Nothobranchius furzeri: one gene and its partners. The main gene of each other region encodes a partner of the protein of the gene in region 2 in a complex. Links are inferred from orthologs where the notes say so. Each region holds a gene or a part of one and is shown on either strand. Other genes may lie near its edges.

Evidence for each region. The genes of interacting proteins can lie anywhere in the genome.
Region 1: the proteins of rev1 (region 2) and polk are in contact, whole or in part, in an NMR structure (PDB 2LSI), measured with the Homo sapiens proteins. The link is inferred for Nothobranchius furzeri from reciprocal best matches to the Homo sapiens genes REV1 and POLK. Residues at the interface, in NP_057400.1 of Homo sapiens: Asn1158, Leu1159, Ala1160, Gly1161, Ala1162, Asp1167, Leu1171, Leu1172, Glu1174, Trp1175, Thr1178, Ile1179, Met1183, Glu1185, Asp1186, Gln1189, Val1190; in NP_001374042.1 of Homo sapiens: Lys564, Lys565, Ser566, Phe567, Phe568, Asp569, Lys571, Arg572, Arg575.
Region 3: the proteins of rev1 (region 2) and pold3 are in contact, whole or in part, in an NMR structure (PDB 2N1G), measured with the Homo sapiens proteins. The link is inferred for Nothobranchius furzeri from reciprocal best matches to the Homo sapiens genes REV1 and POLD3. Residues at the interface, in NP_057400.1 of Homo sapiens: Asn1158, Leu1159, Ala1160, Gly1161, Leu1171, Leu1172, Glu1174, Trp1175, Ile1179, Met1183, Glu1184, Glu1185, Asp1186, Gln1189, Val1190; in NP_006582.1 of Homo sapiens: Gly232, Asn233, Met234, Met235, Ser236, Asn237, Phe238, Phe239, Gly240, Ala242, Ala243, Met244.
Region 4: the proteins of rev1 (region 2) and polh are in contact, whole or in part, in an NMR structure (PDB 2LSK), measured with the Homo sapiens proteins. The link is inferred for Nothobranchius furzeri from reciprocal best matches to the Homo sapiens genes REV1 and POLH. Residues at the interface, in NP_057400.1 of Homo sapiens: Asn1158, Leu1159, Ala1160, Gly1161, Leu1171, Leu1172, Trp1175, Ile1179, Asp1181, Pro1182, Met1183, Glu1185, Asp1186, Gln1189, Val1190; in NP_006493.1 of Homo sapiens: Thr528, Glu529, Pro530, Phe531, Phe532, Lys533, Lys535, Ser536, Leu539.

Annotation. Positions count from the first base shown.
Region 1 is NC_091757.1:44,354,102-44,357,004, reverse strand, and holds the end of polk (DNA polymerase kappa), read left to right. Parts: coding exon 1-402; intron 403-887; coding exon 888-936; intron 937-1,049; coding exon 1,050-1,131; 3' UTR 1,132-2,386; downstream 2,387-2,903. Other genes in the region: ankdd1b (ankyrin repeat and death domain-containing protein 1B), read left to right, coding at 2,705-2,870. UniProt on the Homo sapiens protein: DNA polymerase specifically involved in DNA repair. Plays an important role in translesion synthesis, where the normal high-fidelity DNA polymerases cannot proceed and DNA synthesis stalls.
Region 2 is NC_091754.1:26,368,414-26,372,313, forward strand, and holds the end of rev1 (DNA repair protein REV1), read right to left. Parts: intron 3,889-3,900; coding exon 3,760-3,888; intron 3,680-3,759; coding exon 3,525-3,679; intron 3,454-3,524; coding exon 3,334-3,453; intron 3,260-3,333; coding exon 3,039-3,259; intron 2,961-3,038; coding exon 2,788-2,960; intron 2,718-2,787; coding exon 2,488-2,717; intron 2,403-2,487; coding exon 2,224-2,402; intron 2,034-2,223; coding exon 1,785-2,033; intron 1,682-1,784; coding exon 1,582-1,681; intron 1,499-1,581; coding exon 1,287-1,498; intron 1,213-1,286; coding exon 1,068-1,212; intron 976-1,067; coding exon 873-975; intron 785-872; coding exon 673-784; 3' UTR 510-672; downstream 1-509. UniProt on the Homo sapiens protein: Deoxycytidyl transferase involved in DNA repair. Transfers a dCMP residue from dCTP to the 3'-end of a DNA primer in a template-dependent reaction.
Region 3 is NC_091751.1:39,609,098-39,611,868, reverse strand, and holds the end of pold3 (DNA polymerase delta subunit 3), read left to right. Parts: intron 1-819; coding exon 820-955; intron 956-1,070; coding exon 1,071-1,174; intron 1,175-1,308; coding exon 1,309-1,388; intron 1,389-1,475; coding exon 1,476-1,554; intron 1,555-1,904; coding exon 1,905-2,107; 3' UTR 2,108-2,254; downstream 2,255-2,771. UniProt on the Homo sapiens protein: Accessory component of both the DNA polymerase delta complex and the DNA polymerase zeta complex.
Region 4 is NC_091752.1:33,815,987-33,818,636, reverse strand, and holds the end of polh (DNA polymerase eta), read right to left. Parts: coding exon 2,631-2,650; intron 2,392-2,630; coding exon 2,268-2,391; intron 2,104-2,267; coding exon 2,038-2,103; intron 1,924-2,037; coding exon 1,751-1,923; intron 1,664-1,750; coding exon 793-1,663; 3' UTR 518-792; downstream 1-517. UniProt on the Homo sapiens protein: DNA polymerase specifically involved in the DNA repair by translesion synthesis (TLS). Due to low processivity on both damaged and normal DNA, cooperates with the heterotetrameric (REV3L, REV7, POLD2 and POLD3) POLZ complex for complete bypass of DNA lesions.

The sequences.
Region 1 (2,903 bases), on a different chromosome or scaffold from region 2:
TCAGCGAGGCTGCAGGAAAGCCCAACAGAGTTTCAGGCGCAGAGTTCGACCTGGAGACTGAACATCAAAAAAGCAAGACGGTGCACAAACAGAGCAGAGAGGTCGAAGAGCTGCCAGTAAACGGCGAGGAGTTGAGCAGAAGCGTTCCTCAGGAAGACAGCCCCAAGAACAATTCCGTTCCAAAGGTTTTGCTGAGTGAACACGAGCAGAAACCCGTCACCTTGCAGGGGCATCAGTCAGGTCCGGTTCTTATCTGCCCCGTGTGCTACTTGACCCAAGAAACGGATGACCTCACCATCTTCAACCGGCACGTTGACCTCTGCCTGAACCAAGAGGTCCTGCATGAGCTCAGAGGTCAGACGACATTATCCATAAAACCCTCTGTGGGTAAAAATAGCAAAGGTAAGCGTGTGTTTATTCTCCACCAGAACCAGCGATATTGGACTTGTAATGTTTAAGAAAACACAAAAAAAGAGCAGGTGTGTCTTTTTTTCTGCACAGCATCGTTAAAAATTGTCCATAAACTGTAGGTGTTTGATTTCTTCGGAATGAATTGACGTATTATCTATTTCGAGGGTTGTCGGTGACCTATGACCCCGTTGTTTACTGACTGTGACATTGTATGAGGAGTTTGTATTGATTCAGACAGCAAGCAGACATCTCATTTCACCCCCTCTGACCCGGTTTGGGAAATGGCTAAATCACTTTCTCACCTATTTGCTTTCCTACAATCACCCAAAGCCTGGTTTTCTCTTAAACCAACTCACTTTTGGAATTGCTGTCTTTATGTTGCTGAAAGATCAGAAACATCTGTGTTCCTCCTCGGGAAATGTCTAATTCTTTTTTGGGGATGGAGAAAGGAGTTTATTTTTTCTTTTTGTTTTTAGACAGTGGACTCCATCTGCAAAGACACGCCAGTAAAAGTAAAAACAAAAGGTGAGACGGGTCGATTATTGCTTTAAAAACAAGGCGTTTCTACATTTTCATATTTTTCTGTAGTAATAAATACAATTTTTACTAATAATGTTTCATTGGTGTGTATTTCTCAGAACTGACACGCCTTCCTTTCCCCCGTCTAAAAAACCCAAAAGCCTCGGAGTCTGCAACACCATCGATAAGTTCTTCAGGTGACGGTGACCCACGAACATCAGTCCACATCTGGATGAAGGCTGTTATTTATTGGAAGTGGAGCACTTGCACAAACCAAGATGGCAACTTGTTTATTTTAATTCTTGGAAAATATTTTTTTTTAAATTCCAGATTTTGTGGCTAAATGAGGCTAATGCCATTTTATTTATGTGTGCTTAACTAAACACAAGGATAAGTAAAACTTGCTTGTGATTTTACAGTTTATAATTGTTTTTAAATAATTTCATGTTATTTTTTAAATCTATATTGATATTTTTAATAATGAAGACTGCCCAAGTCAATATTTTGGTCAGGAAATTCCACGTGTGTTTTGATAAGATAAAAATCCACCTTTTTAGAACCTACTGCACACCTTTGTGGTGTAAGTATAGGAAAGCCAGCTTGCATAAGCTTAAAGTAGCCTACAACGATGCATTTAGGACTCTGCTAGGGAAGCCTCGGTCCTGTAGTGCAAGTCTTTTATTTTGTAATGCTCATGTCAGGACCTTCCAAGCCATAATGAGGAATTGGCTCTACAGGTTTATCTTGCGATTGAAGAACTCTTAAGAACAGACTTGTGCAGATGCTGGTTGATCCCCATTTTAGTGCAGTGCGTTACCAGTCATCCATGTGGAGACGCTGGTATGCATGTCTTTTATACAGGGTATCTGCTGGTCCTTAAAAAGTTTTAAAAAGTCTTAAATTTGCTTTTACAAATTTAAGGCCTTAAAAATCCTTAAAAATGACAAATAATCCTTAAATAGTTTCCAAAGGTCTTAAATTACCAAAGACCCAGTAAACAAGATTCTCTTATTTCTATAAAATTTTCGTGAATTTCTAGTTAGTGCAGCATTTTTTGTGTATGATGTTGGCGTAAGCGGAACCGTACACATTTGGTTGGTTGTGAAAGGGGCTATTTTTAGATGAGCATGCTAGTGGGAGTTTGCGCCATGGGAAGTGCAACATTAATGGTAACTAGATGGCTAATCCCATGTTCACGACGCGGTTAGCACCGGTTCCAGGCAATATGGAAATTATAGCTTAAATTTTATTATAAAAATAGCTTAAATTTGGTCAAAGTGGCCTTAAAAAGGTCTTAAAAAGTCTTAAATCTGGCTCCCTTAAACCTGCAGATACCCTGTTTATAATCTTTTGTATCATTTTTATGTCTCTTATAGTTAATGTGGACCTTGAGTCTGATAATAAAGTTGAATTGAATTGAATTGTAATAAATGTTTGAATTCTCTCTTTTGGAGAATATGTTCTTTGTTTGTGAATTGGTGGTTTCAGATTGAAAGAAAGAAAATAAAACCCCAGTCAGCCGACAAGTTAAACTTCTACTAGAGCGCTGCGCTAATCTTCCTAAATCTTCCACCTCCATCAAAAAAGTCAACAATATAAACCGGAGCTATCCCTCCTTCTTTCCATATACACTCTTTTATGGGTGTGAGTTGGTAAAGTAAACATTCAGCCTTCAGAAGCTAGCCCGTCGCTTCATTTATATGTTAGAAGGTTCTCAACAGAAGCTGTGAAACAGCAGAAATAGGATTTTTAAAGAGAAGTTAACATCTTCCTTATGGAAAAAAGAGTTGTAGCTTTGAAGACTTTGATCAAGGAGAAGAAGAACACTCTGGATCCTCAAAGATGGGTACAAACAGAAACTATCAGAGGGTTTGCTGACTTTATTCATAAGAAGCAAACAGACAAAGAGACCGACGACAGCTTCGACAGCAAAGAGATGTGTGAGTATGAAACAAAAATACTAATTAATACAC
Region 2 (3,900 bases):
CCACGTACAGCTCTCTTTAAAACGCTTCACAAAGACCTTTTAAAAACATTATTTACACTTTATAACAAAGTTTGGCACTTTTTCGAAAGAGGAAAAAGATGCAGCTGTATGCAGCAGCTGCAGAAAATTCACAGGTAGGTGCTAGAGCACCAAAAGAACGAATGAATATTGTCTTTTTGTCTGACTATTTCTGAGGTTGTTTTGATGCATGATGCCTGAGGAGTGCTACCAGAGAAACAGACTTTTTAACTGATAGTTGTTTCAAATTTAAACAAGATCAACTGTATTTTACAACTAATATGTGCATCAAAAAGGAGTGAACTCCATTAGCAAATCACCAAGAATATGAAAGCCTGTATAAAAGTAAACAGAAATATGAAAAGAAATACTAAGTCTTCCTTAAAGTTGGGCTATGGTGAAAAAGCACTGAGAACCTTTATTGCCCTGTACATTGAATTGCTTGCAAATGAAAAAAGTACAAAAATGCATGGTTTTATTTTGTTGTAATGGCTCTATCTCTCACTGCCTGTATTTATCATGTGATTATTGTAAGCCATTATCTACAGTTGAGAACAAATTAATAAAAAATTTAAATCTCACTTTGTTGGATGGATGAGTTTGCAAAACGGGGGGAAAGTAGGTGGTGTAACAACCACACCCAGAAGGTTGTCTTTACGTTATCTTCAGGATGCTACCATACGCTTGCTGCACTACAACCTGCACGATGTCCAGGATGAAGTCAAACGCCGTGCTCCAGATGGACTCCACGGACTGCTGCATGAGCCTGCAGGAAAACATTTCAGCGCTAAATGTAGAAAACATATTTAAAAACAAGAAGATGAACAGAAAAGGCGACACTGAGCAGAACTGACCTTTTCATACATTTTATCACCAAATCCAACCTCTCCAGATCTTTGTCTTCAACTAAATCAGTGCAGTACTTCACCACGTGCAGAATGTCCTCCTCCTTTGGATCTAATTGAAAGCAAGACCTCCTTATAAAAAAAATGAAACAACCTATTTTTGCTATTTAAAAATACACGAGTCGTCACTTAAAACATCTGTACCTGTTGTTGTGGTGACCCATTCTCGCAGGAGTGTTTTAATATCTGTCAGCTCACAGGCTCCAGCCAGGGCAGGAACAGGACGAGGAACCGGATCAGTCACAGGTGCTGGGATGTCCTGCTTTGAGGTTGAGGGCTCATTTTCAGTCTGAGAATGAGAAACGTGCATGAGTTCAAACAGAAAACAAATAAAACCAACTTGATCTTTCACATTAGACTCACCTTTGGTACATTCATTAGTTCTTGTGATCTTACAGGACGGGATGCGGTTTTGGTTGGACTGTGGGTCCCCTGCTGCCTCTTTACAGGCGAAGTCCCTTTTTTGACCGGACTGACTACATTCTTCCTCTTGTAGCGCCGCTTGGCCGGACCGACGCCGGTTCCTGGCCCTGGCTGCTTTAGCTGCAACAGTGGATTCTTCTGCTCCACTGCAGCTGAACCAAAGGGTCCAACAACGTGGGTCAGGATGACAAAAAGCATGCAGGCAAAACTCAAAGGTGTTCTGGAGTCAACTCACCTGCATTCACCTGGGGGGGGAGGTTTGCAGCTCGGTGGTAAGCAGACTTCAGCTCCTCCTGGAGCTCTTTGGGAAGTGCAGCGAAAACATCAGGATCAACCTGCAGTCAGAAAAAGGAAATCTGCTAAAGACCGTTTAAGGTCACTATTCACGCATACGGTTCTTCTATCCGGGTCTAGTTCACAAAACAGCTGCGCTTGAACCTGTGAGAAGTTTGGTAGTTCCAGTACAATTCCCGGACTGTCGGGCTGGTTTGGAATCTGCAGAAGCAACGTTCCAGCGGGTGGAGAGTAAAGTGCAGGATGAGGAGGGGACGTTGAACGAGGATTAGGTGAGGAGGGCTGCAGATCAGCTGGATGGCAGTTATTTGGTCTGTCGTCTCTCCTACTCCACGACCGCTCCACCTGCTCCCTCAGCTCTGCTGGAAGGGCCTCCAAGACAGAACGGTCCACCTTAAGAAGTATTCAGAAACACATATGAAGCTTATGAGATAGATTATGGACACCTTGGGAAACTTTCAAAAGAAAATAAAGTGTAAAAAATAATGTTTTTTGGAAGATAAAATAGCAGCTACAGAGAAAGGGAGGAGAGAGAAAACATCTGTTTCTGATCAGTTCTTCTGCATCATCAGATCCTCTTTACCTGCGACGGCGACGGGACTTCGATACTGACGTTGAGATGTGAGTGAGAATGTTTTGGTGTTTGCCTGCAACCTGGAAAGTCTTTGCTTGTTCCTGGAACTGGCTCAGGTGATGCCCGAAGATTTGGTGGAGAGCCTCGTGAGGGAGCGGACGAACGGGAAGGCTGATCCTGGAGAGCGTCTGCAGGATTTGGACCAATTAACCAAAACATATTCAGGACTCTAGACTACGGTGGCAAAAACTAAACATCACAGACCAAACTAACCTTTGTTACCAGGTTTGGCACTCGGACCCGGCCCTAACAGCAAGTCTTTGATGGAGTGCGACTGAGGAACCCGGGAGTCCCGTGCAACAGACTGATTTCCTTCAAGAAGCTGAACCTGAATCCCAACTCCTCTCAAGTCCTGAACCTGCAGCTTCATGGCATGGAACAGCTTGATAACGGCAGAGGCGATCAGCTGACCGCTGTCGGTGGACTGAGCGAGCATCACAGTCCTGGTGAGAAGTAAAACGAGTCAAGAAAAGCACAAAAACCCACAGGCGGGCTGATGCAGATCTTTCTCACTTTGCCAGATTATCACAAATGCCGTGGCCTCCATATTTAGCCGGCTCCAGCGGCGCTCCTGCTTTACGAACCATGACCTTAAGCGTGACTCTCCGACCGCGTAGCCCCGCTTCTTGTAAACGCCGTTGCACTTCCGTGGATAAACTGGTCAGGAAACTTTCCGTCTCATCAACCTGGTGAGTTTTAAAGCTGCACATTTAGAAATGACGGCTGTTACGAAACGAAGAGCAAAGCAGAAGAGCAGGACCAACCGTGGTGAAACGAATGTTGTAGTTCATCTCAGCCGACACCGATTTTCTCTCCTTCTCAAAGCGAACAGGCCGGTCGTCCAAGCCCCTGCAGAACCGGAACAGGGTTTGTCCGGTACGCGGTCCAAACCTTTTCTGCAGCTGAGACAGAGTAACGTGCTGGAGGTCCCCACATGACGTCACCTCCATACCGGCAAGTTTTTTAGCCATAGCACGACCAACCCCTAGAAAACAGCAACTGTTAACTACTTCACAAATGCTAACAGGTTAGTACTCGTGAGCCGGATGAAACGTTAACCTGGTAAACTGGTAACTGGTAGATCCCTGATAAAATCGTCCACTTCTTCAGATTTAAGGAAGTACTGCCCATTGGGTTTGGCCTTACGGGTCGCCAGCCGAGCCAAAAGAATGTTAGACCCTGAACAGATCACAGTTTGATTAAATACAACTAAATATACAAAATATTCTAGAGGAAGAACCCTGGCTCACCCATCCCCACTGAAGCACAGCATCCTGTTTTCTTCTCGATGTCTGCTCTGATGGCTCTGGCCAAATCCTCCGGGCCGACTCCTACCTCAGCGAGCAGAGCAGAAGCGTCTACCAACGCCTCGTCACAGCTCAGAGCCTCTATGTCACGAGTGTAACTGCATTTCATGAAGTTATCAAGTCAATAACAAACAAACAAAAAACAAAGTGATGATTTGAAGGATTTCAGCTTTCTTACCTCGCTAGGATCTCATACATGTTTAGAGCCACCTCTCTATAAGCCTCAAAGTCATAAGAAACAGCCTGCAACGAGGGGCACAGCTGCTTCGCTTTGCCAAAAAACATCCCGTTCCTCACTCCCACCTGCCTGGGATGGCGA
Region 3 (2,771 bases), on a different chromosome or scaffold from region 2:
AACCTTTTCAAAACTATTTCAGTTTGTGTAGAACAGGACTATCAATGCTTTCTGAACATATGCAACACCGTTTAAAAAATACCGCGATAATACCGAAAACCGTGATAATTTTGGTCACAATAACCGTGAGGTTAAATTTTCATACCGTGACAACCCTAATCCGATATAAGCAGTTCGATAAGGTTCACATTTTTGCAAACAATGGTTAAGAAAAAATTGTCATTTTTTTTTTCATACTTACTGTTGCTGGCTCTTGTTCTCGGATTGAGTAATATCACTTGATCAAGCCTTTCATTCTTTCCACACTACGACATAAGTCAAAGTATGTATGTATGATTTGTGCTGGTATCGTATCAGATTGATATCGGTATATTTATATGTTTATAGATATTTATATTTTAACAGTAATGTTGACAGATTGTTGTTTAAGGATAAAATGGCCTTTTAACTCATACTTTTCATCTGTTTTTAAACATTTTTCATTTGTTTTAAATCTAAAAAGGGCCACAAATTTCAGATTTTATTATCTTAAAACAACAAAGTAGTTCTTTTTTTTTCCCAAATAACCAACAAGATGTTTCATCTTAACTGTAACTCTTCTCTTTTGTGGGGTCGTTTTGTGTGTATTAACATGTTTCCACATAGTTGTTCATGTATAGCAGCACAAGTACACAGAAAAAATATCAAATAGCATTTATTCCAATTTATAGTTGTCATAATGAACACAAGAGCAAAGCAAATATTCACTCCCCAACCTTTAGTTGTCTTAATAATATAAAAGTACTCAATATTGGTGAGAATATTATTTTTTGTCTTCAGAGAAACCCGACAAACCTCTAAAGGAGGTTCAGTCATCTGCTGCGGTAGGGCAGAGGGGTCAAAGTTCACCTCCAGTAGAAAAACAAGAACCTGCAGCCGTTGAGCCACAAAAAGACACGAAGACGGATTCCAGGAGGTTTGTGTTCAAAACCAGGAGGGAAAAGGGAACGACTTCAGGAGAGGACTCGTTTGTTTTATAGACCACGAAAGGTGTTTTAGTGAAAGATGACTTTTTTTTTCTTTTATTACAGCAAAAGTAAACGAATCGAAGCATCTGATAGTGAGGAAGAGAAAATGGAAAAAAAAAAGAGGCGACGAATCAAGAGACCCGAACCAGACAGCAGCGATGAAGACGGTTCGTTTCAGAAACATCACTGGCTGGAGAGCAGTAGTTCTGAGAGTTTTGTTGTTTTGGTGTCCCTGATTGTAAATATTAGATCTAATTAATTTTTGAAGTCCTTGAAAAAATAATTTTCTTTTTTCTTCCAGTTATTCCAGATTCTCCACAGCCGCTGGAAACAAGAGAGCCAAGTCCTCTTAAGAAGGAAGCGACTGTTCAACTTTCACAGGTGTGTTGAAGTTTAAATAAGCATCACATATTTAGTAAACATCACTTCATTCATTCATTCATTTAATGATGTTTGGTTTTATTTTAGGGGAATTCTGAGACGAAAATAAGGAAGAGGAGACGCGTCCTGAAGCCTCGCGTGTTTCTGGATGAAGAGGGATGCATGGGTATCTGCATTTTTATTAACGCTGTTAGTCCTGCAGCAATCTTTTAATTAGTTTGGTCGAATATGTAAAAAAAACGAGACTATTATTACGACCTTTGAGTTTTAAAATAAGCTCCTATGCTGGTGTCCTAGAAATGTGCAAATGTTGAAAAACATCTTTTTCTGATTTGTTTTCACACAAAAGAAATCTGGCACTTCCTTTTTAAAAATGAAATAATATTTTCATTTATGAACCAAGCAGTTAAATAAACCTTAAAGTTTATTAAAAGTATTTAAAAGCGTAACCAAAGCCAGCAGTAGGTCAGGGCGGGCGTTTTTGCGTTGATGTAACTGGGTTTTGTTTCTCCTCAGTGACAGAAAAAGAATACGTAAGTGAATCTTATTCTGAGACCGAGGATGACGTTCCAGCTCCCAAAAACGCTCCAAGAGACGCTAAAGCCAAACTTCCATCGAGCAGCAAAGAGGAAGTGAAGAAGAGTCAGAAGAAGTCTTCATCGAGCTCACATAAAGGAACCAAGCAGGCTTCCATCACGGGCTTCTTCCAGAAGAAATGACACCAGATCATGTTGGACATTTCTGTTTGATGACTTTTTGACACAACTGACTCCTTATTTACACACACACACACACACACACAGTTTTTTGCTTTTGTCCAGTCCTCAGCTGTGAATTATTGTCTTTTTAATAAATAATAAATCTGAGAGAGAGAATTTTTCTTGTAAATGGTTTAGTTAGACCTGCTTGTTTTAACTCTTAGAAATCGTAAAGCTGCAGACGGGAAATGTAGCTTGGTGCAACATTTGGAGAAAAAGGCTTCAAATATTTAAGAATTAAACCTCTGGAACAGAACCTGATGGAACACAATCCACATGAAGACTACAGATGTCTTCAGATGAATCTCTCCTGGATTTCAGTCGTTGACGTCTGTCTGGGTCTTCTGTGCGATAAACGACCACATCGGGGGGGGGGGGGGGGGGGGGGCTCTACTGCCCGCTCTCCCCTCTCCGACGATGCAGTCCCATGCGTGGTCCAGCGTGTAAACTCCGTCGTCCCTGTTCATGGTCCCACATCCACGTCTCATTATCTCGATTGCTTCCTTGATCCATCTTTTGTATTTTTGTTGTTCGGTGGTTATGATCCGTGTGTTGTCCCAGTCCATTATATGGTTTTCTCTTAAGCAATGATCTGTTACGGCTGACTTTTTTATTGTACTTTCTG
Region 4 (2,650 bases), on a different chromosome or scaffold from region 2:
TAGCATAAACATTAAAGCTGGTAAATTGTAGTTTTGTGTCGTTTCCTCTTAATGATCTAAAACTTAAATTTTTGTCCCTAAAAACACCGCAGGTCCATCTCCTCTGAGATGAAACATACGTGGTCTTTCCAATACATTGCATGGTGTGTTTCTAGAGACTGAAATCAAACTAAAACTTTCTTTCTGCAAAGGTGTTTTGTACTTTTTAATTTGACTTAATGTCAGAATTGATGACACCAGATTGGAGCTTTAGGATTGATTCCCTTACTGCTTTTGGAGGATTTAGGGGGGGATTGGTGGTGTTTGGGCAGCTGCCTTTTACATTTAGAAGAACTGATCAACTAATTGTCCAAGGACCGTGTAGGAATGACTCATTTAATTTGACTTTACAAGTTATCTCAAAGACTAACTGCGTCTTGAATTTGTAATCAAGATTCACACCGACTCCTGAACCACACTCGTCTGCACACTACTGCCATCTGCTGTTACGCCAGAACACTACAACACACTCTCTGCATGAAGTTGAAAATATTTTTTATCTGTACAGGTTTACAAAATAAAGCTCAACAACTAGAAATGCCCTTTTAAATTAAAAATAGGACCCAAAATACACATGTTAATATCCTCATGAAGCACAAAAACAACTGATTCAAAACAAGTCTTGTTGTATTCTGGTTGTCTGGCTTTCCTCTGGTAAAGATAATATAAAAACATCTTTGTGTGTGTGTGTGTGTGTGTGTGTAAATATATATATACACAATGTTCAGAAATAAATACTCATGCCCTAAATGTTTAGTTCTTTTTGAAGAAAGCATCTAGAGTACCCACACTGCCCCCTAGTGAGCGTTGTCTCTTTGGTGCAGGACCTGACTGACCTCTGGTTTTTGTTTTGCCTCGGGACGACCGAGCAGATGGAGAACCACTGGAGGAAGATGAGACGGTTAGATTTGGAGGCAAGCTTCCTGAATTTGTAGATGAAGACAGTGAATTCTGGAGGTCCAGGGCGAAGTGATAGTCACGATGCTCAGGCATTTCCCACACCAGAACCTCTACACCACAACGTTCACACTTTAAAAGGTCTCCTCCTAGCGCACTAGAAGTACTGTCCAGATGGCTTTCCGGTTCCTCCCTTACCTCTTCTTCCTGTGACTGTGTTGGTATTAACTCTGGGATCATTTTTAACTGCTGGCCAGATGCAAAAGCATCAGTGCCTCTACCGGCACATGCATCATTGTGACCTGAAGACACGTTAGAGCTTTTTTCAAGACTCTTCCTATGAAAGAAAGAGGAGATGCCAGGATGGGAGCTAGAAGAGTCAGTTTTAGAGTGGGAGACACTTTTGAAAGGAGATTTTTGTGAGTCACTTGCCATCTCCAGCTGGCAATCGGTGTCAGATTGATCGCCAACAAAAGGCGGGAGAACTTCCTCTTCTGTGTCGCTTTTAACTTGCTTTTGTTTTCCAGCTGCTTTTTGAAAGAAGGACTGAATGGTACCATGCTGACTACATGGAGGCTCTGTTTTTACGTCACAGGATGGCTGGGTGGAGGAGAACAGAGTCTGGGTTGAAGTTCCTTCACTGGACAGAAATCCAGCAATCCCCCCAGCAGACGGAGCATCACTGAATTTACTAGCAGAGATGTGTAGCAGGGTGAGGGGGGGAGACCTGGAAACATGTCAGACACATGATCTAAATCATGCAGCATTCCCTCAAAACATACATCAGCCTTTTACGTCATCGCTCTTTAATTACCACGCAGCCTGGTGGTTTCCTGCTTTGTTGAGACTCTTGATCAGAGCAAAGCTGTCACTTGATATTTTGGTCGCCTCGTAGCGTGCTAAAGCACAGCATCGAGAGAAGCCGGTCGGCCGCTTATCGCCAAGCTGACGCACGCCAACCGTCAGCTGCTTTGCCACACGATTATTCTGTAGTGCAGCCAGAAAACACGGGTGTGAGACTAGTGGCGTGCTACAGGAATACGAGGACACAACGAGCCAAGCTGTAATGAAAAAAAGCGATTACATTTAAATAATTCTCACCACTTCTTTGTCTTTGGCCAGCCTCTCCTCCAACTCCAGGGCCAGCTGATGAAGCCAGTACTGCACCTACACGGAGGTTTGATTTCAGCATCAGGACAATCTTTGCAAATAATAAATGGAACTAAATAATGACATTTCTCATAGTTCTGGTGTCTTTTCCCCCCACGTCAGAGGCATAAACCTTTCAGAGAGTAACAGATTATGTTGAAATACTTTTGACAGTCCTGTACCTGATCCTTAGTAGCCAGTGACGTCCTCCCGGGAAAGTTTTTACTGCAGCCAATGGACTTGGGAAGCTGTCTGGGTTTCACAGGTTCAAACTCGATCCCCCGACACAGGTCAAACAGCCACTGGCTGCAGCGTTATGTTGGTCATAGAGAATTTAAAAAACATGTCAGCAGTTAAGGTCCATTTCAAATAAATACAATTCTGTGTGAAAAATGTCAACCAGACTGTCAGAAAACTTAAAATGGTTATTTGAATTATGTTTTATTTTCACACCCCAAAGTCCCAAATCTCTAAATCTAGTCTCGAACTGTCCTACAAGTAGACCTTTTATTCGCCAGTAATCCTGTGAAACTGCATTTTCTCACCCCGTTTTTTCTCCAAAGTG